Sus scrofa: one gene and its partners. The protein of the gene in region 3 purifies or fractionates together with the protein of the main gene of each other region. This does not show direct contact. Links are inferred from orthologs where the notes say so. Each region holds a gene or a part of one and is shown on either strand. Other genes may lie near its edges.

Evidence for each region.
Region 1: the proteins of BICD2 (region 3) and E3 SUMO-protein ligase RanBP2 purify together in Homo sapiens (affinity purification with western blotting; 3 studies listed by BioGRID and IntAct, with this or other methods). This does not show direct contact. The link is inferred for Sus scrofa from reciprocal best matches to the Homo sapiens genes BICD2 and RANBP2.
Region 2: the proteins of BICD2 (region 3) and DYNC1I1 purify together in Homo sapiens (affinity purification with western blotting; 4 studies listed by BioGRID and IntAct, with this or other methods). This does not show direct contact. The link is inferred for Sus scrofa from reciprocal best matches to the Homo sapiens genes BICD2 and DYNC1I1.

What each region holds. Positions count from the first base shown.
Region 1 is NC_010445.4:47,594,447-47,604,744, reverse strand, and holds the start of E3 SUMO-protein ligase RanBP2, read left to right. Parts: upstream 1-3,416; 5' UTR 3,417-3,524; coding exon 3,525-3,596; intron 3,597-10,298. UniProt on the Homo sapiens protein: E3 SUMO-protein ligase which facilitates SUMO1 and SUMO2 conjugation by UBE2I. Involved in transport factor (Ran-GTP, karyopherin)-mediated protein import via the F-G repeat-containing domain which acts as a docking site for substrates.
Region 2 is NC_010451.4:75,753,174-75,762,804, reverse strand, and holds the end of DYNC1I1 (cytoplasmic dynein 1 intermediate chain 1), read right to left. Parts: intron 3,228-9,631; coding exon 3,117-3,227; 3' UTR 2,278-3,116; downstream 1-2,277. UniProt on the Homo sapiens protein: Acts as one of several non-catalytic accessory components of the cytoplasmic dynein 1 complex that are thought to be involved in linking dynein to cargos and to adapter proteins that regulate dynein function.
Region 3 is NC_010445.4:42,451,283-42,461,446, reverse strand, and holds the start of BICD2 (protein bicaudal D homolog 2), read left to right. Parts: upstream 1-4,625; 5' UTR 4,626-4,797; coding exon 4,798-5,037; intron 5,038-10,164. UniProt on the Homo sapiens protein: Acts as an adapter protein linking the dynein motor complex to various cargos and converts dynein from a non-processive to a highly processive motor in the presence of dynactin.

The DNA of each region.
Region 1 (10,298 bases), about 5.1 Mb from region 3:
GGGGATTTTATTTGAGCGAAATTTAGGATTATAACCTGGGAAGCAAGTTCCCGGAAAGCTGAGAACCCTCCACTTGTTAAAAGTCAAAGGTACAGTCATATGTTTTCAAGACAAAGGATGGTACATCCAAGCGACACACTGATTGATATTTTACATGAAGTTCACCAAACATAAATAGTCCTGCTGAGCACATACAAAGGGCAGCGGGTCCCCATGACCTCCTACAGAGCTAGAAAAGAACACTAATTATTATTATTATTATTATTTGCATCGTTCAGGTCAAATCAAAGTTCCCCAGCCAGGAAATGAACCTGTGCCACAGCATCGACAGTGACAACTCTGGATCTTTACCCCTCTGCACCACAAAAGAACTCCAAGAAAGCTATTCTTTTAAGAAGTTAACATTGCCAGCTCAGGAAAAACAGGGAAAAATGATTTTTACCTTCGAGTGGGTACTCCCACTTTTTTTTTTTCCTTGCAGCATGTGGAAGTTCCTAGGGCAGGGATGGAACCCAAACCACAGCAGTGACAATGCTGGATTCTGGATCCATTGAGCCACCAGAGAACTCCTGAAAGCAGAAGTTTCGTTTTGTCTTTTTAGGGCCACCCCCATTGCACATACAGGCTCCCAGGCTAGGGGTCAAATCAGAGCTGTAGCCACCAGCCTATACCACAGCTCACGGCAACTCCGGATACTTAACCCACTGAGCGAGGCCAGGGATCAAACCCTCATCATCATGGATACTAGCCATTTTCGGTTCCACTGAGCCATGATGGAAACTCCTGAAAGCAGAAGTTTTTAAATGAAAATTATGTCCAAGAACAAACCATAACGTTGGTGGCAACAAGCAGTCATGTTGGTTCCTCCTGTTTTCTGAGGTTGTCTATGAACATTTTAATCTTATCATGTCTTCCAAGTTCAGTCATGAGAATTTTCTTAGGGCTACCTACAAAGCAGTCTTTTAGGTTTACTAGAGAATGATACAAATTTAGAAGCTGAGAAAATGATGGGATGAACTGACAGTATTATCAATGATTCTGAAGAAAAAAATGAATCATATGATACATGAAAGAGAATGTGTCTGCCACGGATGACAATCTGCCACAAGGACAGAGGGGCTTGAGTGGAAAAAAAAAAAAATGAGTTTGATCAGCTTCAGTGCTGGGTGCCCGTCAGTTAATTAATTCAGAAGTTGAGGGCTCAGATTAATCAGGTAAAACTGGCTAATAAAAAAAAAGTCGTAAGCCAGATATTTCTATGGTTTCAACTCTCATTTGAATTAAATTTGCAAGGCATCAACATGAGTGATTGAGGCATTAAAGTGGCATCTGACAACTTGCAAAGAACATTAGTTAGCTGTGTGATTCAGAGGAATTGCTTGTGAGAATAAGTTTGGATGGAACTGGTCCATGCTGAGAAAAGAAGGGACATCTTCCTGGAGAAGAATGTTCATTTTTAAAGCCCAGCAGAAGAGACTCATCCCCCCATTTGGCAAAAACCAAGGTTTCAAAGCATAATAAATGTACTTAAGGAAAGCCTTTTTTTTTTTTTTTTCTCTTTTTAGGCCACACCCATGGCATGTGGAGGTTCCCAGGCTAGGGGTTGAATTGGAGCTGCAGCTGCTGGACCACATCACAGCCACACAACGCAGGATCCTTAACCCACTGAGCAAGGCCAGGGATCGAACTTGCAATCTCATGGTTCCTAGTCACATTCGTTTCCCCTGTGCCATGACGGAAACTCCAAGGAAAGCCTTTTGAGAACGTCAAGATTTTCTCTTCAGCCTACTTCTTTTCTGTATCTTCAACTACAGCAGATTAAAAGTAGTCATTTTACTAGGTGTGCTTGGGAAAATTGCTTGACCATTCACGCCCTTTGTTTCTTTATAGGTCAATTTATGCACAATAATAAGAGTAACTTCACGAAATTGCTGGGAGAATCAAATGAAATTCACTTGCAAGTAAGCTTTGGCTATTATCACCAACACTGTCCACAAGGCTTATGACAGCCAAGTTGCCACAGAACCCAGTCCTACGACTTCACCTGCAGGCTGGGCATCTCCACTTGAATACACAAATGGAAACTCAGGTGAAATAAATCAACACCTAAAGTGAGATATTCCATCCAGGACCAGTTTTCTTTACACTGTACTTCCGTTAATTATGCCAATCCCAGTAGCAACCTCACAATTGATCCTGAACCCAGTTCCCTCTGCTTACAGCTCAACAGGCCAGTACATCGGGATACTGAGGCCAGGAATAATGACTTTAATTGGAAAGCCGGCAGACTAGTGTCTCAAAAAAACCATCTTGCCTTTCTCTGAATTCAGGTTCCTTTTGTACAGAGAAAGGGGAGGGGGAGAGGCCAGTGGTCACTCACCAATGGTCCCTTGCTTGGGGGAAAGGCCCACTGCAATGCTGACCTGAGGCTGAGCAGGACCACTAAAGTTCACCCACTAACAGTGGCTTGTTTACAGAATCATTCCTGCCTTAGTACTCTTATTCATATCCAAAATGACTGAAATGAAATAGGACGGGCTGATTTTCCCTCTTTACAGAGGCAGTAATTGGTCATTGCCAAGTTTGGAAAATGGGAGTTCCCATTGTGGCCCAGCAGTAACAAATCTGGCTAGTATCACAAATACCATGAGGGCTCCGGTTAGATCCCTGGCCCTGCTCTGTGGGTGTTGCCTGAGCTGTGGTGTAGGCTGGCAGCTGGAGCTCGGATTTGACCCCTGGCCTGGGAAGTTCCATACGCCGCAGGTGAGGCCCATAAAAAGCCAAAAAAAAAAAAAAAAAAAAAAAGAAGGAAGTTTGGAAAATGGAAAAATAAAAAAGGATAGATTCTAAGTGGCCAGGCGACTTTTAAGTGTTGGATAAAACCATAAAGTCTATAAGCAAAAAATAAAAATAAACCATAACTATAAATTCTAAACTCCCTGTATACACTGATGTGATCTGCTGAAATCTGAAACCTACTGAAAACACCTTATTTTTGCTTTGTAAGGCTACACCCAAGGAATACTGAAATTCCCAGGATAGGTGCTGAATCAGAGCTGTAGCTGCCCGCCTACACCATGGCCACAGCAACGCGGCATCCTTGTACCATTGAGCTAGGGCAGGGATCGAACCGGAGCCCTCATGAATATTGGTCGGGCTCTTTTCTATGGAAGCACAACAGGAGCTCCGGAAGACGCTTTCTAAACGCCTACGACTGGCGCCGAGGTGTGACTGTTAGGAACGTCCGTGGGTTGGACCAGTCCCCGTCGCCTCGTTGTCACTACGTCACCTTCGCATTCCCGCGCACCTCGCTAGCATAGTCACCACCGAACGCCGGCGCCCGAGGGCCTGCGCGGCGCACAGTGATGACGCAACACGCACGTACGCACGCATGCACGCACGCGTGTCTGCCCCTCGCCGGCTACGGAGCTGCGTCACGGACCTTCGGGCGCCGAGCTCCTGAGACGGCGGCAGCTGCGGCCTCGGCGCTGGCGTCCCTCGCGCGGACCCCGCTCGGCGGCGCGATGCGGCGTAGCAAGGCGGACGTGGAGCGGTACATCGCCTCAGTGCAGGGCTCCGCTCCGTCGCCCCGAGAGGTGAGCGGGATGGGCGCGCGGCCTCCGGGCGGGCCGCGGCGCCATGGCTCCCACTGAGGCGCGGCCGGCGCGCGGGGGGCGGGGAGGCGGCGGGCGGGCGTTGGCGCGGCGCTCCCTTCTGCTTTTCCTTCTCCTTCTCTTCCTCTTCGTCCTCTACGGCGCCCGGCCGGCCCCGCTGTGCCCACTGCCCGGGCTCCACGCCGAGGCGCTGCCGCTTCGGCGCGGCCGCCTCGCCATCCCTCACACTCTGCATTGGAAGCTGCTTTTGCCGACTTTCGTTTTCCCGCTGGGTCGCGGGGGTTCTGAGTTCCTTCCCGGGCCTTATTGCTGGGGTAGACGTAGATGTCTCTTAGGGTACTTCCCCTTGTTCCCACGTAGGGAGTTGGCCACATCGTGGATCCGACCGGACGTGGTGCCTAGAGGGGACGGGGACGGGGACGGCGAGTAGGGGGTGGGCGCAGGATCCCGAGTCACTTCCCTGGGGTGGAGTCATAGCTATGCTGGACACAGGCTGTGGGATTTGAAGCAAGTTCTGTTTATTTCGTTAATAGGGCGGAATCAGGCTACTGATAGGAGTTTTTAGTATGTCCCGTGTTAAACATTAACGGAAGTGTTTAGCGCATTAAGTGCTCGCAGTAGATATGGGTGTTAAAGTACAGTCATTTAAGGTGTTCCGGGTAGGGGAACTTCCATATGCTGCGGGCCTGGCTCTTAAAAATAAATAAATAAATACATAAAAATGGAAAAGAAAGGTGTTTTTTTTTTTTTTTTTTTAGTGCCATCTTGACAGTTGTGTATTGCTGTTGTCATAAACTTCCTCTGTCTTTCAAATTATGAATTCGTGGGAGGTCCCTGGTAGCCTAGTGGTTAAGGATCTGGTGTCACTGCTGTGGTTCAGGGTCAGTCTCTAGCCCAGGAACTCGCGCATGCCGCGAGGATCAACGCAGGATCCAAGCCACATCTGCAACCCACACCGCAGCTCACTATACCGCAGCTCATTTAAAAAAAAAAAGTATGAATTTGTGGGTTGGGGAAGAAAGGCTCTGTATATTCAATTCTGGTGTATTCCTCTTTTTGCTTTTTATTTATTTAGTCTTTTTAGGGCCGCATCTGCGGCATATGGAGGTTCCCAAGCTAGGGTCCAATCGGAGCTGTACCTGCCAGCCTAGCCAGAGCCACAGCAACGCCAAATCCCACCACGTCTGCGACCTACACCACAGCTCCCGGCAACTCCAGATCCTCAACCCATTGAGTAAGGCCAGGGATCAAACCCTCAACCTCATGGTTCTTTGCTTTTTAAAATCGTTTCTTGCTAACTACAGTTCTATCCTTCTTGACCTGTTTTTCTCGGGTGTTTAAGATTCCTGAATGAAGGTTAAGACTGTCTGTAGTTCGAGTACATACTATTAAGGCTGTACAGTAAATACTGTCATAATAACATTATGTGGAATTATTTCTTAGGTGTATGTCACTGTTTTGACATAAAATTAGAACATACATATATTTTTTGTTTTGTTTCATTTTTAGGGCCACACCTGTGGCACATGGAAGTTCCCAGGCTAGGGGTTGAATCAGAGCTGCAGCTGCTGGGCTACACCACAGCCAAGCAGGATCCAAGCCGCATCTTCGACCTACACCGCAGCTCACTACCCTGCAGCTCACAGCAATGACTGATCCTTAACCCACTGAGCAGGGCCAGAGTTCAAACCCACATCCTCATGGATACTAGTTGGATTTGTTATCACTGAGCCACATGGGAACTCCTAAAATTAAAGTATATTTTCATCAGCTTTATTGAGGAGTAATTTACATGCCATACAACTCATCATTCAAAATGTACAGTTTAGGAGTTCCCATCATGGTGCAGCGGAAACGAATCCGGCTAGGAACCACGAGGTTGCGGGTTTGATCCCTGGCCTCTCTCAGTGGGTTAAGGATCTGGTGTTGCTGGGAGCTGTGGTGTAGGTTGCAGACATGGCTTGGATCTGGCATTGCTGTGGCTCTGTTGTAGGCCAGAGGCTACAGCTCTGATTCAACCCCTAGCCTGGGAATCTCCGTATGCCTCAGGTGCGGCCCTAAAAAGAAAAAAAAAAAAGTACAGTGTAATGAGTTTTGGTACATTATATTGTTGATGTTTTAAATTATGGTAAACCAGGTGTAACAAAATTTGCCCATTTTAACTACTTTTACGTGTGTAATTCGGTAGTGTTAATTGCACAGGTAATGTGCCACTTTCACTACTATTTCCAAAATTTTTCATCACCACAAACAGAAACTTTGTAACTCTTGAGTGATAACTCCCTAGGTTCCTCTTCTCCCTAACTAACCCCCGGTTACATTTAATTTACTTCTGTATGAATTTGCCTATTTTATTTTATTTTGTTTTATGTTTTTGCTTTTTAGGGCTGCACCCACGGCAAATGGAGGTTCCCAGGCTAGGGGTCAAATCAAAGGTACAACTGCCAGCTTACGCCAGAGCACAGCAGTGCCAGAAGCGAGCCGCGTCTGCAACCTGCACCACAGCTCATAGCAATGCTGGATCCTTAACCCACTGATCAAGGCCATGGATCAAACCCATGTCTTCATGGATACTAGTTGGGTTTGTTAACCACTGAGCTACGACAGGAACTCCCCATCACCATCTATTGAAGAGACTCTTCTTTTTCCATTGAGTGGACTTGGCACGTTTGTCAGAAATCAGTTGGCAGTAGCTTTATGGGTTTATTTTTGAGCTCTCAATTTTGTTTCATTAGTTTGTTATGTCCATTCTTATGTCATTACCACGTTGTGTAATGTGGTAGTGCTGTAGTGTTGTAGTTCAGTTTGAAATTGGGAAGTGGTGAGTTTTCCAACTTTGTTCTATTTCAAGGATGTCTGTTTGGGGCCCCTGCAGTTCCATATGAATATAAGGATTGCTGTTCCCATTTCTGTAGAAAGGGTTATTTTTCATTGGCACTGCATTGACTCTAGATTGCTTTCGGTAGTTGACAATGTTAGGTCATCCATTCATGAATACGTCTTCCTCTACTTAGGTCTTTTATTTTTTTCAACAGTGTTTTAATTTTTCATTATATGGGTTTTTCACCCCCCTGGTTAAATTTATTCCCAGGTACTTTATTCTTTTACGTGCTCTTGTAAATGGGGCTGCTTTCTTAATTACCTCTTTTGCTTGTTCAGCACAGGTGACTTTTGTCTGTTGATCTTGTCCCCTGCAGTGTTGCTGTTTTGGTTTCTTAGCTCTAGGTTTTTTTTTGCATGTGTGGATTCTTTGTGATTTTCTCTATATAGGATTGTATCATCATATTAATAGAGATAGTTTCATTTTTTTCCTTTCAATTCAAATTTGGATGTTTTTTATTTCTTTTTCCTGTCTAAGTATTCTAACTAGAGCTTCCAATACAATATTAACTAGGAGAGGTGAAAGCCAGACTTCCCACTATGACACAGTGGGTTGGGAATCTGACTGCAGCAGCCCTGGTCTCTGCAGAGGTGTGGGTTAGATCCCCAGGCAGGTGCAGTGGGTTTAAAAGGAGCTAGCATTGTCGAAGCTGTGCCTTGCATTCAGTCCTTGGCCCAAGAACTTCCCTATGCCGTGGGTGCAGCCATTAAAAAAAAAAAGTGGTGAAAGGCATTCCTAATCTTGGGGAAAGCCTTTAATCTTTTATCACTGCTAAAAGATACTAGCTGTGGGCTTTTCACTAATGGCTTTTATAATGTTGTGGATATTCTTTGCTTTTTGAGAGAATCCTTGTATCCATAGTTTTCTGAGAATTTTTAGTCACGGATGGGTATTGGGTTTTGTCACATGCTTTTTTTGGTAGCATTTGAGATGATTGTGTGGTTTATTTCCTTTGCTCTTTTAATGTGATGTATTAATTTATTCATTTTCTTGTATTGAGCCCCTCCTTGCATTTCTGGTATAAATCCCATTCGATTATAGTGTGTAATACTTTTAACATCCTCTTAGATTCATTTTGCTGAGGGTACTTGGTTGAGAATTAGAGTTAAGAATTCTTTTTTTTGGAGTTCCCATCGTGGCGCAGTGGAAACGAATCCGACTAGGAACCATGAGGTTGCGGGTTTGGTCCCTGGCCTTGCTCAGTGGGTTAAGGATGTGGCGTTGCTGTGAGCTGTGGGTCGCAGATGTGGCTCGGATCCCACACTGCTGTGGCTGTGGTGTGGGCCGGTGGCTGTAGCTTTGATTGGACCCCTGGCCTGGAAACCTCCATGTGCTGCAGGTGTGGCCCTAAAAAGCAAAAAAAAAAAAAAAAAAAAATTCTTTTATTTAAAAATTTTTTTTCTTCTTTTTCTTTTTAGGGCCACACCCATGGCATATGGAGGTTCCCAGGCCTAGGGATCTAATTGGAGCTACAGCTGCTGGCTTACAACGCAGCCATAGCAACTCAAGATCCAGGTCTCGTCTTCGACCTATACGGCAGTTCACATCAAAGCCAGGTCCTTAACCCACTGTGTGAAGCCAGGTACCCAACCCACAATCTCATGGTTCTTAGTCGGATTTGTTTCTGCTGCACCATGACAGAAACTCCAAGAATTCTTTTTTAAATTAGACTTTTTGGAGTTCCCGTCGTGGCGCAGTGGTTAATGAATCCGACTAGGAACCATGAGGTTGCAGGTTCGGTCCCTGGCCTTGCTCAGTGGGTTAAGGATCTGGCGTTGCCGTGAGCTGTGGTGTAGGTTGCAGACTCGGCTCGGATCCCGAGTTGCTGTGGTTCTGGCGTAGGCTGGTGGCTATAGCTTCGATTCAACCCCTAGCCTGGGAGCCTCCATATGCCGCTTGAGCGGCCCAAGAAATAGCAACAACAACAACAACAAAAGACAAAAAAAAAAAAAAAAAAATTAGACTTTTTTCCTTTCTTTCTGTCTGTCTGTCTGGTTTTTTTTTTTTTTTTTTTTTTGCTTTTCAGGGCTGCACCTGTTGTATATGGAGGTTCCCAGGCTAGGGGTTGAAACAGAGCTGCAGCTGCTGGCCTACACCACAGCCACAACCACTCAGGATCTGAGCTTCATCCTCCACCTACACCACAGCTAACAGCAATGCTGGATCCTTAACCCACCAAATAGAGGCCAGGGATCAAACCCACAACCTCACGGTTACTAGTCAAATTTGTAACCTGCCGAACAACAGTGGGAACTCCCTAATTAGACTAATTTTTTAGAATGGTACTTTCACAGAGTTCCTGTTGGGGCTCAGTGGTTAACCAGACTAGTATCCATGAGGATACAGGTTCGATCCCTGGCCTTGTTCAGCGGGTTAAGGATCCTGTGTTGCTGTGGCTGTGGTATAGGCCAGCAGCTACACCTCTGATTCTACCCCTAGCCTGGGAACCTCCATATGCTGAGGGTACAGCCTTAAAAAGACAAAAGACAAAAAAAAAAAAAAAAAGAACAGTAGTTTCACAGCAGAAATGCAGTGAAGGTAGATTTCTTCATACTCCCTGCTGTACAAGTGCATGGCCTCCGCCATTGTCAACACTTCCCCCAGAGTAGGATACTTGTTGAAAGTGATGAACCTACAATTACTATGTTCTTGTCACCCAGAGTCCACAGTTTACCTTAGGGTTCCCTCTTCATGTTGAACATTCTGTGGGTTTAAGGATGTGTATCCATCATTACTGTGTCATACAGAATAGTTTCACTGCCCTCAAAATCTCTGTGCTTGGCCTCCTCATCCCTTCTTTCTCCCAGCTACTGGCAACCACTGATTTTTTTATTATCTGCATAGTTTTGCCCTTTCCAAAATGTCATATAGTCGAATCATACAGAATGTAGTCTTTTTAAAATGACTTCTTTTACTTAGTAGTAAAGATTTAAGTCTTCTCCATGTTTCTTTTTATTGGTTCCATTGCCACCTGAAATGCCACTGTGCTGCTGTGTTGTCTTGCCTAGATGGGAATCTTAGAAGGATTCAGTCAGAACCTCACTGATGTCAGCCGTGACTCAGTTGCTTCTCAGGAAAGCTTATGCCCCCATTGTCTGAGCTGTGGTTCTTCCTCTTGCACTGAAACAACCCATCATTATTAGAGTGAAACCAACCTGTCCCATGAAGGTCTAAATCCTGCTCACACTGGGTGCAGATCTCAACACAGCTCTGTTAGTGAGTGAACCATTCAGTAGTAGGTGAATTCTCTTTACAAGGATGGCAAGAAGTGACATGAAGGGCCAAGTGAGGTCTCTGAATGTTTGGCTGCCTAAAGTAGGTTTATGATACCTCTTGCTTAAACTTAAAAAGGTCAAGGAGTTCCCACTGTGACGCAGTGGGTTATGCATCTGACTGCAGCGGCTTGGGTTTGATCCCAGCCTGGTGTGCATTAAAAGGATCCAGTATTGCCACAGCTGTAACTATGGCTCAGATTCAGTCTCTGACCCAGGAGCTTCCATATGCCATGGGTGCAGCCATACAGTTGAAAAAAGGAGTTCCCGTCATGGCTCGGTGGAAACGAATCTGACTAGGATTCAAGAGGACACAGGTTTGATCCCTGGCCTGACTCAGTGGGTTGAGATTCTGGCCTTGCTGTGAGCTGTGGTGTTGGTCATATGTGGCTTGGATCCCTAGTTGCTGTGGCTGTGGTGTAGGCCGGCAACTACGGCTCCGATTCAGCCCCTAGCCTGGGAACCTCCATATGTCACCGGTGTGGCCCTAAAAAGACAGAAAAAAAAGAAAAGAAAAGAAAAAACAACTGA
Region 2 (9,631 bases), on a different chromosome or scaffold from region 3:
GTTGTATTGTATAAGGACAAATTCGATGAAATGTAGTAGTGGGTACCTAGACTGACCATTCCTGGCTTCGGTGGTTAACAGCCTCTGCCTAGCCACTGTTACTTCGAGGTCTCGTCATTTCTATAGATATTAAAAAGTTCTTCTCTGTGACTGTCTCTCCTATAAGCTCTCACCTATAACAGAGACCGCCACTAAAATAGCTAGAGATGCTTTTGCCTCTCTCACTAGCTCATTGCTACTAATGGCTTTGGTGAAGCGTGTATACTCTTGGGGCACCAGGCTAACTCTAGGATATGTCTTCTGGGCTCACAATATATCCATTCTTACACGTTTACTACCCTCCTCCTCTTTATTCCTATTTGTACTATCAGTCAGGGCAACTCAGACATTTTCATTTTATTAAATGTAGGCCACAGCTTTTTCAGACTTCTGAGGGCCACTGTAACAGCAACCCTATGCCCTGCCATACTATGTCCTTGCCAGAATATAAAATCACATAGCCCCAAAAAGGGCCTCAAAGTCAATGAATTCTTACCTATCTGGTCTTAGATTCTGGCCCTCTTAGTCAAACTCCTCAAAATCCAACCCCAGTGCTATCTCTCTGGCCTCTAATGGCACATGCTAATTCTTATAACTGTTTTGGTGTATAGTCTCATTACTCCCTGATCAGGCTCAGCATGGCCTCAGCACATTATGCTGAGAGAGTCATCAGTGTGATATTGATCTGACCCTAAGAAAGAGGGAGGGAGGGAGGAAAGGTAGAAAGGGAGGAAGGAGGAGAGAAGGTGAGGTTGAAGGTAGGGGGTCAGGGAGGAAGGGAAAAAGCAAGGTAGAAAGGAAAGAAGGTAGATTAGTCTTAGACTTAGTAGGGTTCCAAGAAAGTTTTAGCCATGCTTACAGGAAGTCCTTGAGACAGTTAACATCTCAGAGAAATCTTCCATCTCCCAGCAACAGGCCTGCCTTACTATCCTTGCCATGCTCAGTTTTGGCTGGAAGCAGCCTGTGGGAAGCATGGCCTTGGTCAAACCAGGTGATGGAGTTTTCAGAGCAAAGCAGCTGGAGCTGTCAGTCAATTACCGTCTTTGCAATAAGAGGTCTAGTAGAGGCAAATTTTCATGGCTCCCACGTTCTAGCTGGGACAGCCTGAATGGCTGTGGGCTGGCTGGCTATCTATATATCTGCATGGCTACTCTATGATGAGCTTAGGCATTTGTACAGCCTAGGAATCTCAGGGTAAGTTGTACTTGCACAATGGCTTGGGGATTTAGAGGGAGTGTGCCAAGAGACCCAGAAGGAAGCTATAAGTCTTCTTATAACCTTGTCCTGAACCCCACATAGCATCATTTCCCCCATAGTCTTTATTTACACAAGGCCATCCCACATTCATGATGGAACAACACAAGAAGTGAGAGACCATCTTGGAGACTAGCTACTGTAGTGGGTTATACACACACGTAACCACTTGTAATTCTTCGTGTGCCTGCTACAAGTGACTCTGGCTTTGGCACTTTTCATAGTCTTCACTCACTGAAGCATTTAGAGTTTGGTCTATAAGTGACTCACGGGAGGCTGATTTGTTCTTAGATCCTTTAGCACATGTTTGAGAAACTTTTCCCCCAGTACTTTTCGTTGGATTGCTTTTATACCTATTTTGGACACTCATAGTTTATCTTTACAAATTTAACTGACAAAGAGTTTCAGTATTAACATACCATATGGCACTTACAGAAAAGCATATCGTTATTTCAAAAATAAAAATCTCTCAGGTCAGAGAATCCCTCCCAACAAAGCACCATGGAAATTCTCTTCCTAAAGAGCCAAAGACTACCTTCAAATGTTTTTCATGACTCAACCACTATTTATTTTAATTCTCTCTAGGCATGAAATGACTTTTTGAAAAAAAAAAGTCCTGTAAAGTTGTTTATAGACATTTCCTAGTTCAATAGTAATAAACATAATTTTCTGGTATAAATTTTAAAATAATGAAATATGTTAGATATGTGATACTTGTTCATTTAAACCTGTTCTTCTTACTCCAGTGTTTGAGACAATCTTGGGTAAAAGTGGCTTTGGTAAAGACAAGAAAGAGCTTTCCATAAATACCACACACGTTCCTTAATAAAAATAAAACCAGTCTTGGTTTAAGTCCAGCTAGGCTGCCTGCCTGTAAATTCATTATCAGTCTTTAACATGGCCCTAATGTATCTCTCCTACCCCCTGGCCACAGCAGAATTTTAATCAGGCTTTTCCCAAGCAAAGGATTTATCCACACTGGTGCAGACTTGATTTGGAACATTTTATTGGCAATACTGGTATCATATTTAGGAACCACAGACTTTTGTCACAGTGGGTTAGCTTGAATGACAAGTATCAATGGTCAACTATATTTGAAATATTGTTAAAGTACCTGGAAGTAATAGGCATTAAAATTCATTCCATTCATTGCAACAAACCTCTAAAGATTTCATGTCCTCAGTGGAACTGGCATACTGTAATTGTTATTTGGAACTTAATGTAACCTCAACAGCAACAGAGAGACAATGCGGTCCTCTCATTATGCACATGCTCTAGGATCGTTTATTTTAATGCTTTCAAATAAATATGTTCCATGCAGCACACCACAATAAATAAGGAGCAGCAATGTTCTTCTAGTAAATCCATTCATAATGTGAGTCACCACCATGTAAAACACCACATCTCAAGTCTCTGGCCCTGTCCCATATCATGAAGTACACCACATCTGCACCTAATCATATCTGGCTTCATATGGATTTAATAGGACTATGCCAGAAGTGCATGTAAGCACAAATTTAACCAGAGGTTTCCAGCTATTAAATACAGCTACTAAGTAGTTAAAAGGCAACAACTAAACCCATAAAGGCTCCACCCCCACCCCCATTTTTGAGACAGAAATATAAAGGTAGAAATGGTCTGGTGAATTTCAGGTCAGTGGACAGTAGGGTGGGATACATTTGGAATACTTGGAGCAAAGCAGGTACAACATGGCACCCCAAGGTCATGGCAATACTGATACTGAATGGACACTTAATACAAGTGGACTTGACGACTGCAGAGGCCGAGTTTGAGAAGGTCAAGGTGGGGGCAGTTCATTTCCACTAGGCGGTTAACTCAACAGTGCCTTCCTCCTCGCTATCAGCTCTGTTGGCGCGGATCTCCACGAGGGTCCTGGCAAATCGGGTCCACTCATCATTGTGGGGAACTGCGAGCTGCAAAGCAAATTAATGGAAGATGGTGAACAACATCTCTTTTATGTCTGAAAACTGAAGCCCATAGACTGTTGCTCCTGAAACAGACGTTTCCCCTGGAATGTAAAGAGTACCAGACAGTCGTCCTTGAATCAGATCGCTGAAGTATTGCTCTTAAACTGACAATTCAGGAGAATAATGTCATTCTCAGAAGCAAAATCACTCATGGGATTCAGAAAATATTAAAAACTTATGTGAACTGTACCATTAATATAGCAGCTATGTTAAAGCCCTTTCAGTGATGAAACTTCATCCTAAGAAGACCAGACTTACAGTGAGAACGACAAATAAAAACTGCTTTATTAGGAATTTTTAAATAACCATGATATTGTCTTAATAAGTGAATGCTATTGATTCCTTTTCAAAAAAGGGCTGCTAATATGCCAATATACATGACAAGAGTATAAATTACACATACGAAGAAATCTTACTACTGTGATATGAAGCTCTGGCTTTTCTATATGATGGTGCCTGTGAATAATAATAATAGTAACTAAGAGTTCTGTGTTACATATTCTACATATATTCTACTCATTCTTAACAGCAGTCCTATGTAGGATAATGTTAGTATTTTCATTTTACAGAAGAAACTGAGACACAGAAAGATTAAATCATTTTGCCAAGCTTGCAAAACTAACAACTATCAGTGCCCATGTCTTCTGGTTCCAGTATTTACATCTTTACCCAGTATGCTATAATGAATCACTGAAAAGGAGAATTTATAAAATTTCCCACATAATATCTTCTCCTGTGCAGAATTCAGTGAGGAGAAAATTAACTCCACCTGACACAAACTGCATGTATGAGTTTTTGTTAGCTGATTTAAAGGATAATGATTTCGCTACATAGCATTCAAAAATGAATTGTTTAAAGATATCATACAAGTGTTTGGAATAAAAAAAATATTTGAAGATGAGAAACAGGATAAAGTAGAAGTTTGAATGGTGTTCACATAGGATAAAATTTATTTAAACTGTGGAGCGGAGCCATTTTCTTGGAGGATTACCGTATAAGACGATGTAAACCATCAACAAATACTAGTTCTCCACAGGCTATCCATACATTCCATAAGCATTAATGGCACTCATTTGTTGCAATCAACATACATTTTCAAAAATAAAAAAGTAAACAAATCTAAACTTTGTGATCACATTTACAGCTGAAAGATTGCTTACAATATGAAGCCAAATGATTAGATTCTCTTAAAATTTTTATTACAGTGGATGATATTCTCAGATACCGTCTACCCAAGACAACTTACTGGGAAGTGGCAACATCATCCTACAAAGTATATCCTTCAATTAACGGTCTGGTCTTGAGGTTAAATGTTTCCAGGATATAATTCTGGAAATGATATACAGGTGGGGTAAGTTTTTTTAAAATGATTTATTTTGGTACTTCTTACTTTCTTATGTCTGATGTTGAGAAATGCATAAATTCTCATGTAGTTCTGAATGCTTAAATACTTCCCTAGTTACTGAAGTGCATCCAAATTCTTTTTTAGACAATGACACAAGTCAACAATAGTCTTAAATGGCACTGTTACCCCTTTGCTCAGTTCATTTTCTCTAATTTTGAGCTCTTTTCTCTGTTCCGCTACTATTCATTTTTCTCTCCAACTTTAGAAACTACTATACTGGGGAAATGAAGTCCTCAAAATCAATTATACAAAAGAGCTAATCAAAAGCAAGAGCAGCAATGGGTTGGCAACACATTTATAAAGAGTAGGTCCATTATTTCTTGTCTCTTCTCCATTTACTGACCAAATCTTCCCAAAAAAGAATCACAAAAGCCCAAGAAGAGACAAAAGCCAATCATGATAACATTTATAACTTTTTTTCATATAAGGTGAGAATCAAATTAAAATACCTCATAACTGCATATAACATTAAATATTGGGAAAAAACAGGTCTAACTAATAAAAGCTATACACTCTAAGGGTTTGGCTCCTAAAAACAACACTGTTATCTATTATTGGTACAGCACAGGGAACCATGTTCAATCTCTTGTGGTAGAACATGATGGAAGATAGAAAAAGAATGTATGTATGTATGACTGGGTCACTTTGTTGTGCAGCAGAAATAGAACACTGTAAATCAACTATAATTTCAAAAAAGATTATGAAACATTAAGGTTTGAGTATATGTCCAGATACAGTCTGGAACAGAATTAAGTATCATTGTGACATATATAGTTGCACATCTAACTTTCCAAAAATGAATTTTCTGAAATCTCAATATTCCTTTGTTAATCAAAGTATTTTATTTAGGTGTGATTTACAATGTTCTGGTTTAGAGCACATATATTCTTTTTCAGATCCTTTTCCCTTATGTGTTATTACAAAATATTGACTATAGCTCCCTATGCTATATAATAGATCCTTGTTGGTTATCTATTTTACATATAGTAGTTTGTGTACATTAATACACAACTCTTAATTTATCCCTCCCCGTCTTCCCCTTTGGTAACCGTGAGTTTATTTTCTATGTCTCTGGGTCTATTTTGGAAATAAGTTCATTTTTTATTTTTTAGATGCCCACATAGAAGGAGTATTATAGGGATTTGTCTTACTTCAATAAGTGCAATAGTCTCTAGGTCCATTAATGCTCCTGTAAATGGCAGTATTTCTTTTCTTTTTTTTTTTTTTTTTGTCTTTTTGCCTTCGCCAGAGCCACAGCAACTCGGGATCCGAGCCACGTCTGTAACCTACACCACAGCTCACGGCAATGCCAGATCCGTAACCCACTGAGCAAGGTCAGGGATCAAACCCACAACCTCATGGTTCCTAGTCGGATTCGTTAACCACTGAGCCACGATGGGAACTCTAGCATTTCATTCTTCTTTATGACTAGGTAATATATTCCATTGTATATATGGACCACATCTTCTTTATCCATTCATCCGTCAATGGACATTTAGGTTGCTTCCATGTCTTGGCTATTGTAAATGGTGCTGCCAGGAACACTGGGGTGCATGTACCTTTTTGAATTATGGTTTTCTCTGCATAGATGCCCAGGAGTGGGGATTGCTGGATCACATTGTATCTCTATTTTTAGTTCTTTTCTTTTCTTTTCTTTTTTAGGGCCATATGTGGCAAATGAAAAGTTCCCAGGCTAGGGGTCGAATCTGCTGTGGCTGCCAGCCTACACCATAGCAATGCTGGATCTGAGCCATATCTGCAACCTACACCATAGCTCACAGCACCGCCAGATCCTTAACCCACTAAGCAAGGCCAGGGATCAAACCCGCATCCTCATGGATGCTAGTTGGGTTCATTAGCTCTGAGCCACAATGGGAACTTCTATTTTTAGTTTTTTAACTAACCTCCCAAACTGTTTTTCATACTGGCTACACCAATTTACATTCTCACCAACAGTGTGTGGGGGGGTTCCCTTTCTCCACACCCTACAAATAATTTATTAGTTGTAGACTTTTTGATGACGGCCATTCTGACTTGAGTAAGGTAATACCCTGTTATGGTTTTGATTTGCATTTCTTTAATAATTAGTGATACTGAGCATCTTTTCATGTGCCTGTTGGCCATCTGTGTATCTTTTCAGAAATGTGTATTTAGATCTTCTGCACATTTTTGGCTTGGGTTGTTTGTTTTTTTGATATTGAGCTATATTAGCTACTTGTATATTTTAGAAATTAATCCCTTGTCGGTTGCATTGTTTGAAAATATTTTCTCCCATTCTTTAGTATGTCTTTTTGTTTTATGGTTTCCTTTGCTGTGAAAAAGCTTTTAATTATGTCCCATTTATTTATTTCTGTTCTTATTTCCATTATTCTAGGAGACAGATGTAGTTAATTGCTAGAATTTATGTCAAAGAGTATTCTGCCTATGTTTTCCCCTAGGAGTTTTATAGTATCCAGTCTTAATTTAGGTCTTTACTCTATTTTGAGTTTATTTTGTGTTAGAAAATGTTCTAATTTCATTCTTTTACATTTAGCTGTCTGGTTTTCCCAGCACCATGTATTGAAGAGGCTGTATTTTCTCCATTGTACATTCTTGCCCCCTTTGTCACAGGTTATTTGACCATACATGCACAGGTTTATTTCTGGGCTTTCTATCCTGTTCCATTGATCTATAGTCTACTTTTGTTTCAGTACCATACTGTTTTGATAACTGTAGCTTTGTAGTATAGTCTGAAATCAGGGCGGCTGATTCCTCCATCTCCATTTTTCTTTCTCAGGATTGCTTTGGCTATTTGGAGTCTTTTGTTTCCATACAAGTTAATTTTTTTGTTCTGGTTCTGTAAAAAACTGCCATTGCTAATTTGATAGGGATTGCACTGAATGTGTAGATTACCTTGGGTAGTACAGTCATTTTAACAATATTTATTCTTCCAGTCCAAGAACATGGTTTATCTTTCTATCTCTTTGTATTGTCTTCAGTTTCTTTCATCAGTGTCTTGTAGTTTTCAGAGTACAAGTCTTTTACATTCTTAGGTAGGTATATTCCCATTTATTTTCTTTTTGATTCAATGGTAAATGGGATCATTTCCTCAATTTCTTTTTGATCTTTCATTGTTAGTGTATAGAAATTCAATGAATTTCTGTGTATATTGTTATTAATATGGTAATAGTTATTTTACTTGTTAAAGAAATCAAAGTAACAATTTTAATATTTTTCATTTATAAAACATTAAATTCAGAGGTTAAGTTTAAATAAGTTTCACCAAAATCTTTGAAGATTTTTTTTAATTTTAATATAGTTGAGTTAAAATATTTTGTTTCAGGTATACAGCAAAATGATTCAATTATACATATTACATTTACATGTAAGTGTATATATCATTTTCCTCATATTTTCCATTATAGGCTATTAGAAAATATTGAATATAGTTCCCTGTATTACATAGTAAATCTTTGTTGCCTATCTATTTTATATATATTTTCTCTGTTAATCCCATATTCCTAATGTACCCCTCCTCCCATTTTTCCCTGTGGTAACCATAAGTTTTCTATGTTTGTGAATCTGTTTTGTGTATTTTGTATATTTGTAATTATATATATTCATTTGTATCATTTTTTTAGAGTCCACATATAAGTGATATATAGTATCTGTATTTCTCTGATTTATTTTAGTTGGGCATTACTTTCTCTAGGTCCATCCATGTTGCTGAAAATGGCAGTATTTCATTTCTTTTTATGGCTCAGTAATGATCAATTGCATAATATATACCACATCTTAATCCAGTCATCTGTTGATGGGCCCCCACTGGTTTGCTTCCATGTCTTGGCTATTTATAGCGCTGCTATGAACATTGGGCTGCATGTGCTTTTTGAATTAGAGTTATGAATCTTTGCCAGATATATGCCCAGGAGTAGGATTGCTGGATCATATGGTAACTCTATTTTTAGTTTTTTTAAAGAAACTCCAAACTATCTTTCATAGTGGGTGCACCAATTTACATTCCCACCAACAGTGTACAAGTTTTCCCTTTTTACCAAACCCTCTCCAGCATTTATTATTTGTAGACTTTTTGATGGTCATTCTGACCAGTGTAAGGTAGTACTTCATTGTGATTTTGATTTGCATTTCTCTAGTAATTAGTGATGATGAGCATATTTTTCATGTACCTGTTGGCCATCTATCTGCATGTCATCTTTGGGTAAATGTCTATTTAGGTCTTCTGCCCATTTTTCAATGAGGTTGTTTGGTTTTTTGAAACTGAATTGTATGAGAGCTATTTGTATATTTTGGATAATAACCCCTTTTCAGTTGCATCAAATATTTTCTCCCATGCCATAGGTTGCCTTTTTTGTTATGGTTTCCTTTGCTATATAAAAGCTTATAAGTTTGATGAGGTCCTGTTTATTTCTTTTATTTCTTTTGCTTTGAGGGACTAAACTAAGAAAACATGGCTATGATTTATGTCAGAAAATGTTTCGCCTGTGCTGTCTTCTAGGAGTTTTATGGTGTCATGTCTTATATTTAATTCTTTAAACCATTTTGAATTTATATATGGTGTGAGGGTGTATTCTAGTTCCACTGATTTACACACAGCTGTCCAGCTTTCCCAGCACCACTTGTTGAAGAGACTGTTTTTTTTCCATTGTATATTTTTGCCTCCTTGGACAAAGACTGACCACTGTGGGTTTACTTCTGGGCTCTCTATTCTGTTCCATTGATCTCTATGTCTGTTTTTGTGCCAATACCACATTGTTTTGGTTACCATAGCTCTGTAGTGGTTTCTAAAGTCTAGGAGGGCTATACCTTTAGCTTTGTTCTTTTTCCTCAGAATTGCTTTGGCAATTAGGGGTCTTGTATGGTTCCATAAAAATTTTAGGATTATTTATTCTAGTTCTGTAAAAAAAAGTCATGGGTATTTTGATAGAGTGCATTAAATTTGTAGTAT
Region 3 (10,164 bases):
AGCAAATAGCAAAAAAGGGAGCATTAAGGCTACCAAAGCAGCCAAACCCAGGCCAGTTCCCTGCCTGGACACTTGTATGTGTGAACATCTTGCCCTTTTACCCCTAATGGGAGGAGTGGGGACCTGCAGTCCTCACTTATGAAGGCAGAGTTTCTGAGAGGACATTGTAGGAGAAAATGTCCCAATAAAATGTAGAAAGGAGAGACCCCAGCCGTGATGACTAAGCAAAGTCTAGCCAACTGCCCCAACCAGTCCTCCCCCATGCATCTGCTTCCGCATCTACTACCTTGCCTGACGTCACTCCAGTCCAACTAGTCAAGCTTGGACCTGGAAGACGTAGCCCATAAAAGCCTTGTGAAACCCTTCTTCCAGGCTCAGACTCTGGAGAGTGATCTCCTCTGAGCCCGCCAGTGTAATAAAACTGAGTTCTCCAACTCTCCGAGTGCTCGCTTGGTTTCTCGCCGGGTAAAAGAGCTGATCCACTGCAGCCGCAAAGCTGCTGGAGCTGGTACGCTATAGCCATGGGGCTGTCGCCAGAGCTGATACACTGCAGCGCAGGGCTGCTGGGTATCTGTCATAACAACATCACTTACCTTTGTCCCTAGGCCAAGGGTCACCCAGTTGTTCTTGGGGAGGGGCACCATGGATGTTCTCTGGCATCCCAGTCTGCCAAAGCTGCCTCCATTCCCTCATATTGTCCATCCCAGGGAGGGGTGTAGAGTCCAGGGAGTGGGGGATAGTAAGTACGGGCGGTCTCCACTGGTGTCCTGAGCCCCTGGTGTCGGTCAGGAGACTTCTGAGGCATGGTCCCTCCTGGAGCTGATATTCAAGGTAAGACAAAAGTGCAAAAATGAGTAACTTTAATGTATAGGATGCCATGGAGGAAGATAAAGCCAGGAAGGGGAGCAAGCCAGGAGGGCAGAAGGGCCACTCCAGAGACTGGGCAGGGTCTGGGAGATAATCAGCCTGTGCCTCTGGGAGGGGGCTGTGATCTTAAGGTTTGTGCCCTCACAATTTACATGTTAAATGCTAACCCCCAAGGTGAGGATGTTAGGAACAATGGGTCCTTTGAGGGTGATTAGGTCATGAGGCTGGAGTCCCCATGAGGAAATGATTGACTTTATAAAGAGGCCCCAGAGAGCTCCTCACCTCTCCTGCCATGTGAGAGAAGAGGAAGCGGGTTCACTGGAGGTTCTCACTAGATGCTGAATCTGCTGGCACCATGATCTTGGACTTCTAGTACCTTGAGAAATAAGGCTTGCTTATAAGCCTCCCAATTGTGGTGTTATTTTAACAGCCTGAAAATACCAAAAGGGTTTTGAGTAAGGGCATGTGACCTGCCTTGGGTCTGAAGAGCCTTCTGCTGCTGTGAGAGAAAAGATAGGGTGAGGGGGTTGGGGGAAGGCTAGTGGGGAAGTGAGTAAATAGTTCAGGTAGAAGGCAATAAGGTTCAAGCTACAGAGGGAACCACAGTTGGGAGGGCTGGAGGCTGAGGCTGGATCTGTCATTTACATACAGATTGGCAGATCAAATGAGGGGTGTAAGAAGTCCAAGGTGGTGGGAAGAATTTTGTCCTGAGCCTGTTTCCTCTTTTGTAAATCAGAGAGCATAATTCCCACCTCCTGGGGTGTTGGGAGGATTCAATGAGATGATGGAGGTCAAGTAACTGGCAATATTGGAGGCCTAGTTGGATCCTAACAAGCAGTGGCCCTGCTTCCTATCTTGCCAATCCCTTATACCAGCAGCCTGACCAGCCACTTTCTATGCATTCTTTGGGTCTCCTAAACCCTGTCCTGATGCCTGTCCTCCCAACACTATCACCCATCATGGCTCCTCTGGTGACAGGCCCTCTGTCCCCAGCACCTAGGAGAATCACTGCTTGTCCCCTTCCACAATCACTCTGTTTCCATTTTAAGCTCCACGGTCAATGCCTGCACCAGATTCCCACAGCCTTTTCCCCCTCTCCCTCCTCAGGCCAACCCCACATGAAGGTGTGGAGGGGGCAGGGTTTTGAGTTTGGCCAGCTTGGGTCAGAAGGGGCCACCACTTCTCACCATTCCTTCCTCCCACGTTAACCTTGCTCAAACAAGGCTTGTTCCTTCTCCCTGCTTTCCTCTATGATCTCACCCACTTAGACTAAATGATGCACCTAGGCCTGATGGTCTCCTAGGACTTGGTGCTCTCTGTGCAAAAGCCAGGTCAGACAGGCTGACTGGACATCCTACTCCTACTATGGGTAGGAGTATTGCCCTACAATTTTTTTTTAATTTAAAATTTTTATTGAATTTTTTTGGCCATACCTGGGGCATGTAGAACTTCCCAAGCCAGGGATGGAATCCACGCCATAGCAGTGACCCAAGCTGCTTCAGTGACAAAACCGGATCCTTAACCTGCTGAATTTTTTTAAATTTCACAAGTAAAATTATGCCAGTTTTTCCTCATACAAATCAAACCACTGAAAGGAATCAGGGCTCCTTGGAGAAATGGTTGATTCCAGGTCTGGGACAGAGAGTACAAGACAATACTGGAACAACTTTGCTAGAAAGTCAGAAAATGCTCAAAAATCATGGCATGTTGAAAGGACACAGAGCCAGCTGGACGAGCTCCTACTGGCCACATGTGCCATATTTGAACATTTAAGTGAATAAGGAGAGTAATGGATTGTAACTCATTAGGTAAAATAAGAACCCACAAATCCATACCACTAATGAATGAAATATCTTTCGACGAAGTGGAATAAGTACAGAAGGAATGATGAAAACAGAAAAAAAAGTATAATGGTAATTCATTTAGGCAAGAAATATCAATGGAAACTGGTAGAAAGTTTGAGGAACTCATACAACTCAATATCGAAAAAACAAACCACCGATTAAAAAAATAGGCTGGAGACCTGAATAGAAGGTCTCCAAGGAAGATATATGGATGGCTAACAGGCCCATTTAAAGGTGTTCAACATTGCTAGTTATCAAAAAAATGCAAATCAAAACCACAATGAGATATCACCTCACACATCTAGAATGGCCATCATCAAAAGGCCACAAATAACAAGTTGGTGAGGACATGGAGAAGAGAACCCTTGTACACTGTTGGTAGGAATGTTAAGTTGGTGCAGCCACTGTGGAAAACAGTATGAAGGTTCCTCAAAAAACTAAAAATTGAACCATCATATGATCCATTAATTCCACTCCTGGATATATATCCAAGGAAAATACTAATTTGAAAAGATACATGCACCCCAATATTCATAGCAGCATTATTTACAATAGCCAAGTTACAGAAACCTAAATGTCCATTAACAGATAATAAAGATTATGTGGTGTATATATATAAAATGGAATTTTGCCATTTGCAACAACATGGATGAACCTAGTGTATCATACTAAATAAGTCAGACAAATAGTATATGTTATCACTTTTAATAGTAGATAAAGAGATAAAGAGAACAAACTAGTAGTTATCAGTGAGGAGAGGGAAAGGCGAGAGGGGCAAAATAAGAGTAAGGGATTAAGAGGTACAAATTATAAAATACTTAAGCTAAAAGGATATATTGTACAGCATAGGGAATATAATCAATATTTTATAATAACTATAAATGGAGCACAATCTTTAAAAATAGTGAATCATTGTGTTGTACACCTTACTCATGTATCATAAATCAAGAATACCTCAATAAAAATTTCAAGAGCTTGAGGAGTGACGGGATAGTTGCAAAATCTAAACTGCCTTCTCATAGGATAGTAATAACAAAGGAATACCCTTGCCTCCTGACAGGATTCTGCGAATTTAGCACCCTGATGCTCCTGCCAAAGTGCATAACCTAATCTAACCATGGGGATGCATCGGTGTGTACACTTATGGCTTGCATGCCTCAGAAAGATCAAGGTCAAAGAGACAAAGAGGGAGAAAGTCTCCCAGCCTGAGCGAGAGTAAGGACTTAACTAGAACCCATGCTACAAGGGTAGGGCAGGGACGCGACGCTGGCTGGCCACGCGTCTCTGATTCGAGGCCACTGCAGTGACCTGGATAATCCTAGGGCGCATGGAAATGCCTAATTCTTAGAAAACAAGCAGGAGGCGTTTCGTACTTATTTGAGGCGAAGGTGGGCTCTACTGCTAGCGGTTTGACCATATCTTCCACTAAATACGTCCTGGGCTAGGCTGGCCTCGCCTGTCTGAGCCACCGGATTACTGTCCTCACAGCCACCCCGCCCGCGGTGCCCCCGCCGCGCCGGGCGTTCCACTCACGGCGGTTAGCACCGTGCCCGGCTCCACCCACCCACCGCTCAGCGCAGTCCACGGCCACCCCGGCCACCCAGCGCACCGCCGACCCTAGCCTCGTAAGTACCGCTGGGGGCACCGGAAAAATATCAGTTTCCGGCCTTGCGACGGCAGCTGCGCAGGCCAATCGCGGGCGAGGGCTGGCGGTCGTAGGGTACGACGGGTCTTGTAGTCGGTGGGCGAGCGGGACTACGTACCCCACATTGCCCCGCGCGGCGGCTGCGGAGGCGACAGCATGGGACGGGGCGGCCCGGGACAGGGCGCAGGCCAATCACGGGCGGGAGAAGACTGCGCGTGAAGCACGTCGGGTCTTGTAGTTCCCGCGGGCGGGACTGTGGTCCCCACAGTGCCCCGCGCGACAGCGAGCTTACTGCGGCTGCGTGGTGGTGGCGGCGGCGGCGGCAGCGGCGGTGGCCCGGGCGCCGTCGGGCTGGGTGGCGGCGGCGGCGGTTCCAGGGGCGGCGGGCGGGAGCCGGGCTTGAGCCTCGGAGGGAGTGGCACGACCCCGGCCGTGGCCACCATGTCCGCGTCGTCCGAAGAGGAGGAGTACGCGCGGCTCGTGATGGAGGCGCAGCCGGAGTGGCTGCGCGCAGAGGTGAAGCGGCTGTCGCACGAGCTGGCCGAAACCACGCGTGAGAAGATCCAGGCGGCCGAGTACGGGCTGGCAGTGCTTGAGGAGAAGCATCAGCTAAAACTACAGTTTGAGGAGCTTGAGGTGGACTATGAGGCTATCCGCAGCGAGATGGAGCAGCTCAAGGAGGTAAGGAAGGGCGGCCGCCGCCACGCCCTCCGCGCCCCCACCCCGGCCAATCCCCACACCCGACCCGGACTCCTCACCCCCGGGTCAGACAGACGTCAGCGCCGACCCCAGAGCTGTCCTCCGACCCAGGCCAAACTGACCTCGACCCCGGGACAGGCGGACCCCCGAACCGACCTCATATCCCAGGCCTTTCAGGCCAGCACTGGGGCGCCCTGGGTCGGAGGCTGCGCTGCTGTGGGGGGCGGGCCCCAGATGTGGTGGGCAGTGCGCGCTGTAGAAATTCTGGTCTCTGTGGCAAGGGCTGCTGTGGGGCCGTGTGGCCAGCCTGTCTACAGGCTCCTGATGCCAGGTCTTGGGCACGGTGGGGTGGCGTCCTTTGCGGTATTTGGCTTTCTGGGTGGGGGCATGGGATGGACACAGGTGACCGCCTGGGGAAGGACAGGCACATTACTTCTTTCATCTGGACTCAGCCGCCTTCAGCGGTCTCACAGTCTTCCGTGAACGCTGTGAGGCCATACCAGGGCCAAGTCGGGGGCTTGCTTTGCATGTGGCCACTGCCTGGACTACCCCACTGTCCCTCCCCGTGCTCAGCTCTCTCTGACCTCCCCACTAGTTACTTCTCTGGGATACAGTGCTTCCTTTGTCCACTTCCTGTCCTGGCTGCCTTCTCAGGCCCTTCCTTGCAATTGGGTGACAGGTCTGTGGATGCTTGTCATTGATAGAGCCTTGTGTCTCCTGTGCGATATACACTTGGGAGATCTGCAAGGTGGATCCCAAGGTGGCCAGAGAATCTTGCAGCCAGAGAGCTAGGCAGCCTTCCCACAAAGTAATTCTCATGGGTGATTTAAACATCCTTTTCTCTCCCAGTCCTCCCTGACTCCCCAGCCTTGTTGTGGAGGTGGGGAGGAAGAAGTTGCTTTCTGAGTGAAACACCTAGGTTTGGACCGAAACCTTTTCCCTTCCTGGAGGTGTGGCTGTGAGCAGGGGCCTTAGTGTCTTGCTCTGTAGCATCCCACCCAGAAGGGGTTGGTCTGAGGGATATTTGAAAAGTCCGGGCAAGGTGTCAGGCATCTAGCCTGTCAGTTTCTGTGAGAGCCTGCCCCTGCCCCACTTGACAATTCCCTTTTCCAGAGGGACCCTTGGCCCCTTGGCCTCAGGATCCACCATGCTTGCTGCTTCCCTAGCTGCCCACTTCCCAGCACCCCACTCCAGTGGCTCTAGGCAGGTGCCTGGACTGTTCTGAGCCTCCATGCTTCATGAGGGAGACCAGTTGGTCCCCTTCTGATAGCAGGGGAATTAATTCATGAAGGTATTTAAATCTATGCCTGTTCGAACAGGTGCCCGGTTAGTACCCGTAGAAGACTGATGTGGTATGGGAGTGGGGGTGAGGGAGCTCATGGACCCCAGGTCCTATATTGGTGCCTCCTCTGAGATCTTCAAGAGGGGCGACATTTGGCCTCTCCAGCAGGGGCCTCATCTTGGTGTGTGAAGTAGGGGAATGCGCCCAAGAAGGGGGGCTGAGGGGATCTTGAGACTATGGAGTGGGAGCACCCTAGGCTCACCCCCTCTGCAGCTCCTTGGTGAACCCAGCCCCCCCCCACCTCCACCCCCAGAGTGCATAGCAAGCCCCCACAGGCAGCATGCACAGTCCTCTTCTGTGTTCACAAGCTTGACTTGGTATCCCCTGTAAGAATAGACCAGAAGGGAAGATTGCACACAGAGCTAGCTACTCCTGCTTAGGAATCTTTCAGTTGTCAGCTCTTTACTGTTACACACATTTGGCTGGTGCAAGAATCTTGACTCAGTTTTGTAGGGTGTGTCTGGAGGGTGGGTCCCCAGGGGGATTGGGAAGACACTGTATCAGTTTGCACAGGTGTTCTTCAGGTGTCTGCTTGCTTCTTTTGATGTTACCTCCTGGCTCCCTCACACACTGGCTACATGGCCTTGGACACATCCCACTTTCCTGAACTTTGGTTTCCTCTGTGGCAGGTAGGATAAGAACCGTTCAGCTGGAAATCCCAGCAGAAGCTACAGGAAGGTGCATCACAGTCTTGGTAGATGTTTAAGGAAAGCTTGTACCAGTTTACTCAAACCCTTGTCAACCTCTCTAATTTTTTCTAATATTATTCTTGAAAGTATTGTTTCTTATTTGAAAAATCAAGATTTAACCAATATCTTTTTTATTTTTTTATTTTATTTTTAATTTTTTTTTTGTCTTTTTGCCATTTCTTGGGCCGCTCCTGCAGCATATGGAGGTTCCCAGGATAGGGGTCTAATCGGAGCTGGGGCCACCAGCCCATGCCACACCCATAGCAACACAGGATCTGAGCCACGTCTTCGACCTACACCACAGCTCACGGTAACGCCTGATCTTTAACCCACTGAGCAAGGCCAGGGATCAAACCCGCAACCTTATGGTTCCTAGTCGGATTCGTTAACCACTGCGCCACAGCGGGAACTCCCCAATGTCTTTTTTTAAAATTATTTTTCTGTAGAGAGATGAGCCATCTTCATTCTTTTAAAACTTTATTTCTTCAACTGTACTGGGTTCAGTTACTAAAAATTATCCTGCAAGTGGAGGCGCCTACATCCCTGCCTAGCATTTGTGGATAATACTGACTTTGAAGCGGGGAAGCTGACTGGCCAGTCCCAGGTCATTGGGTTTGTGACCAGACCTGAGGAGGATTCCGTGAGCCAGTGGGCAGTGGTGCTGGCCCTGCGGTCTTTCTCACTTGGTGAGTGTGTGTGTCCTGCTGAAACCAGGGTGTGTGCAGGGACCCACTGGCCCATTTTGTCTAACCATTTTGCTGGTGACTCATTCTGGCTTAATAATGTCCCCATCTGCCCCAAGTTCTTCTATACCCCCTTCCCAGCATGGTGGGGAAGAGAATTGGACAGATTTTGCGCCGTATGGTGTTTCCTAAGTAGCAGTGGAATATCTTACCCTGTGTCCTCAGCTGCAGTTTCAAGAAGGCAGGTGTGCTGGGCTGACAGTTCCTGCCTTGGGAGGGGGGGGTTGGGCAGGTACCATGAGTGGGTGGTTCTTGTAGGTTGGGAATGTGAGGGCTGGAGAGCATGCCCCAGGCCAGTGGCTGGGGTCCTGGTGCAGTCTCAGCCCCACCCTTGCTCAGCTCCCAGAGAGAGAAGGAAGATGAGGTATGGATGCCCTTGCTCTCTTCTCTGCCGCTTTGGGGTCTTATCAGTGCAGGTGGAATTTGGTGAGCTGCAGCCTGTCACAGGCTGGAACTGGTGCCCAGGATATATAGTAAGTGCTTACTCAATAAGTTTCTGCTAGCTGGTGTCATCAGCTCCTTCCCTCCATCTCACCCAGGCCTGGATCCCCTCCCTGCTGTCTCTGTAGTCACCTTGTCTCTGTTCATTGTTCTTTTGAGGTTTGGCGTGGCCCCACTGTGTCTCCCAGAGGGTGGCCTGAGCTGCTGCCTGGGGCCTCTGGCCTGGCTCAGCCTGTTCCCCCTTGTCCTGGTTGCTTTTACTGTCCTCACCCTGCCAGTCTTGGATCTTGAAAGCCCCGCCTGCCCTTAAAGGACTGGACGCTTTTCAAAGCCTCCTCTGGTCGCCACCTCTGGACTTACCTAAGCCAGCTCCCAACCTCCGGATGTCCCTCCCATGTGTAGGCTCAGCAGCCTCCTGAAGAACTGTGGCAGAGCTGGGGGGAGCAGCTGCTCTGTCTTCTTCCCTCCCTCATTCCCGTCCCTCTTGTAGTCTCCTCTCTCAGAGGATGGGGCAGCCAAGGTCAGGATGGGTGTAAGTGACTGAGGAAGGTCCTGTAGCTCAGACCGAGCTGTAAGTGGCTGTTGGACACCAGATTCCTGTCCATACCTTTGTAGAAGTCACTGCCAGGAGCTAGCTCATGGGGCAGTGGCGGGGGGCGGGGGTTGTTGAGGAGGGCCCCTCAGGCCTCACCCCTGTGGGGGAGCTGCTCCTGCCCTAGACTCCCCATGCCCCACCAACTCCTGCAGTCCTCCCACCAGCCCTTAGGGTCACCACTTTGTTATGTCTGTTTCTGGGGAAACTGAGGCACAGAGAAGTTGTGTTCCACTCAAGGCTGTGAGCCTAGGCATTCTTCCCCAAGAGGGCAGGCACTTGTGGAGGAGGAGGCCTCTGTGCAAGGCCCAGTCTCATCAAGTGTTTGCTTTAGGGCAGGAAAAGTCCTCATTTGGCTAAATCCTGTAAGGATTATGCTCATCTGGACCACCCTAGAACTTGGAGCAGAGGAGCAAGCAGCTGTGTACATCAGTGTTCTTGGGTGTGGCTTCGGATGTGTGGCCTGGGCGCTGTGAAAGAGCTGCCTTTCCACAACTGGTGCATGAGGGAGGCCAGGCATGAGTGTGGCGCTGCCTGGATAGGCAAGGAGGCGCTTCCTGTTCTGACCAGAGCCGTTGTTGTCCCTCTCTGGTTCTAGGGGAGCAACTGGACCCAGCCTGGGCCCTTTGGACCTGTGTGGCCGTGGAGGAGTGCCTCTGTCCTGAGGATCAGGCTGGTGTACCTAGTGCACATGGGCACATGGTGGCTGAGGCCCCGGGTCTGAGTAGCTGCCTCAGAGAGAGCCAGGGCCAGGTAGACACAGGCTTCTGCTGGGCCTTCCCACTTCAGGGACCCTGACCCCTTTCTGTGAAGGAGGAACTTACCCTTGTGAGTTTGGGGCAGCTACCCTTTAATCAGACCCGCTTCTCTACATCTATACACTGGTAAAAGGGCCACTGCACATGTCAAAGGTAAAGAAAGATTTGGTTTCTTTTTTTTCCATACCCTTGGCATGCAGAAGTTGCCAGGCCAGGGATCAAATCTTTGCCAGAGCAGTAACCAGAACCATAGCAGTGGCAATACCAGATCCTTAACCCACTGAGCTACCAGGGAACTCCTGGTTTCTTCTTAGACAGTGACGTGAAGGTGGCTAGTAGGCGGGGGCTGGCCAGGACCCTGCAGGCTCTGATGAATCCCATATTGTCTGGTGTTTGATGTCTGGCCCCTTGAGGTGTCCCCCAGAACAAGAGAGAGCACAGTGTGGCTGTGCAGCTGCTGTCTTGGGCATCAAAACCCTCTTTTCCAGCCCTGCTCTGCCATGGGAAGAGAACAGACAGCGGGGGTTGTGGGAGCAGGACAGGT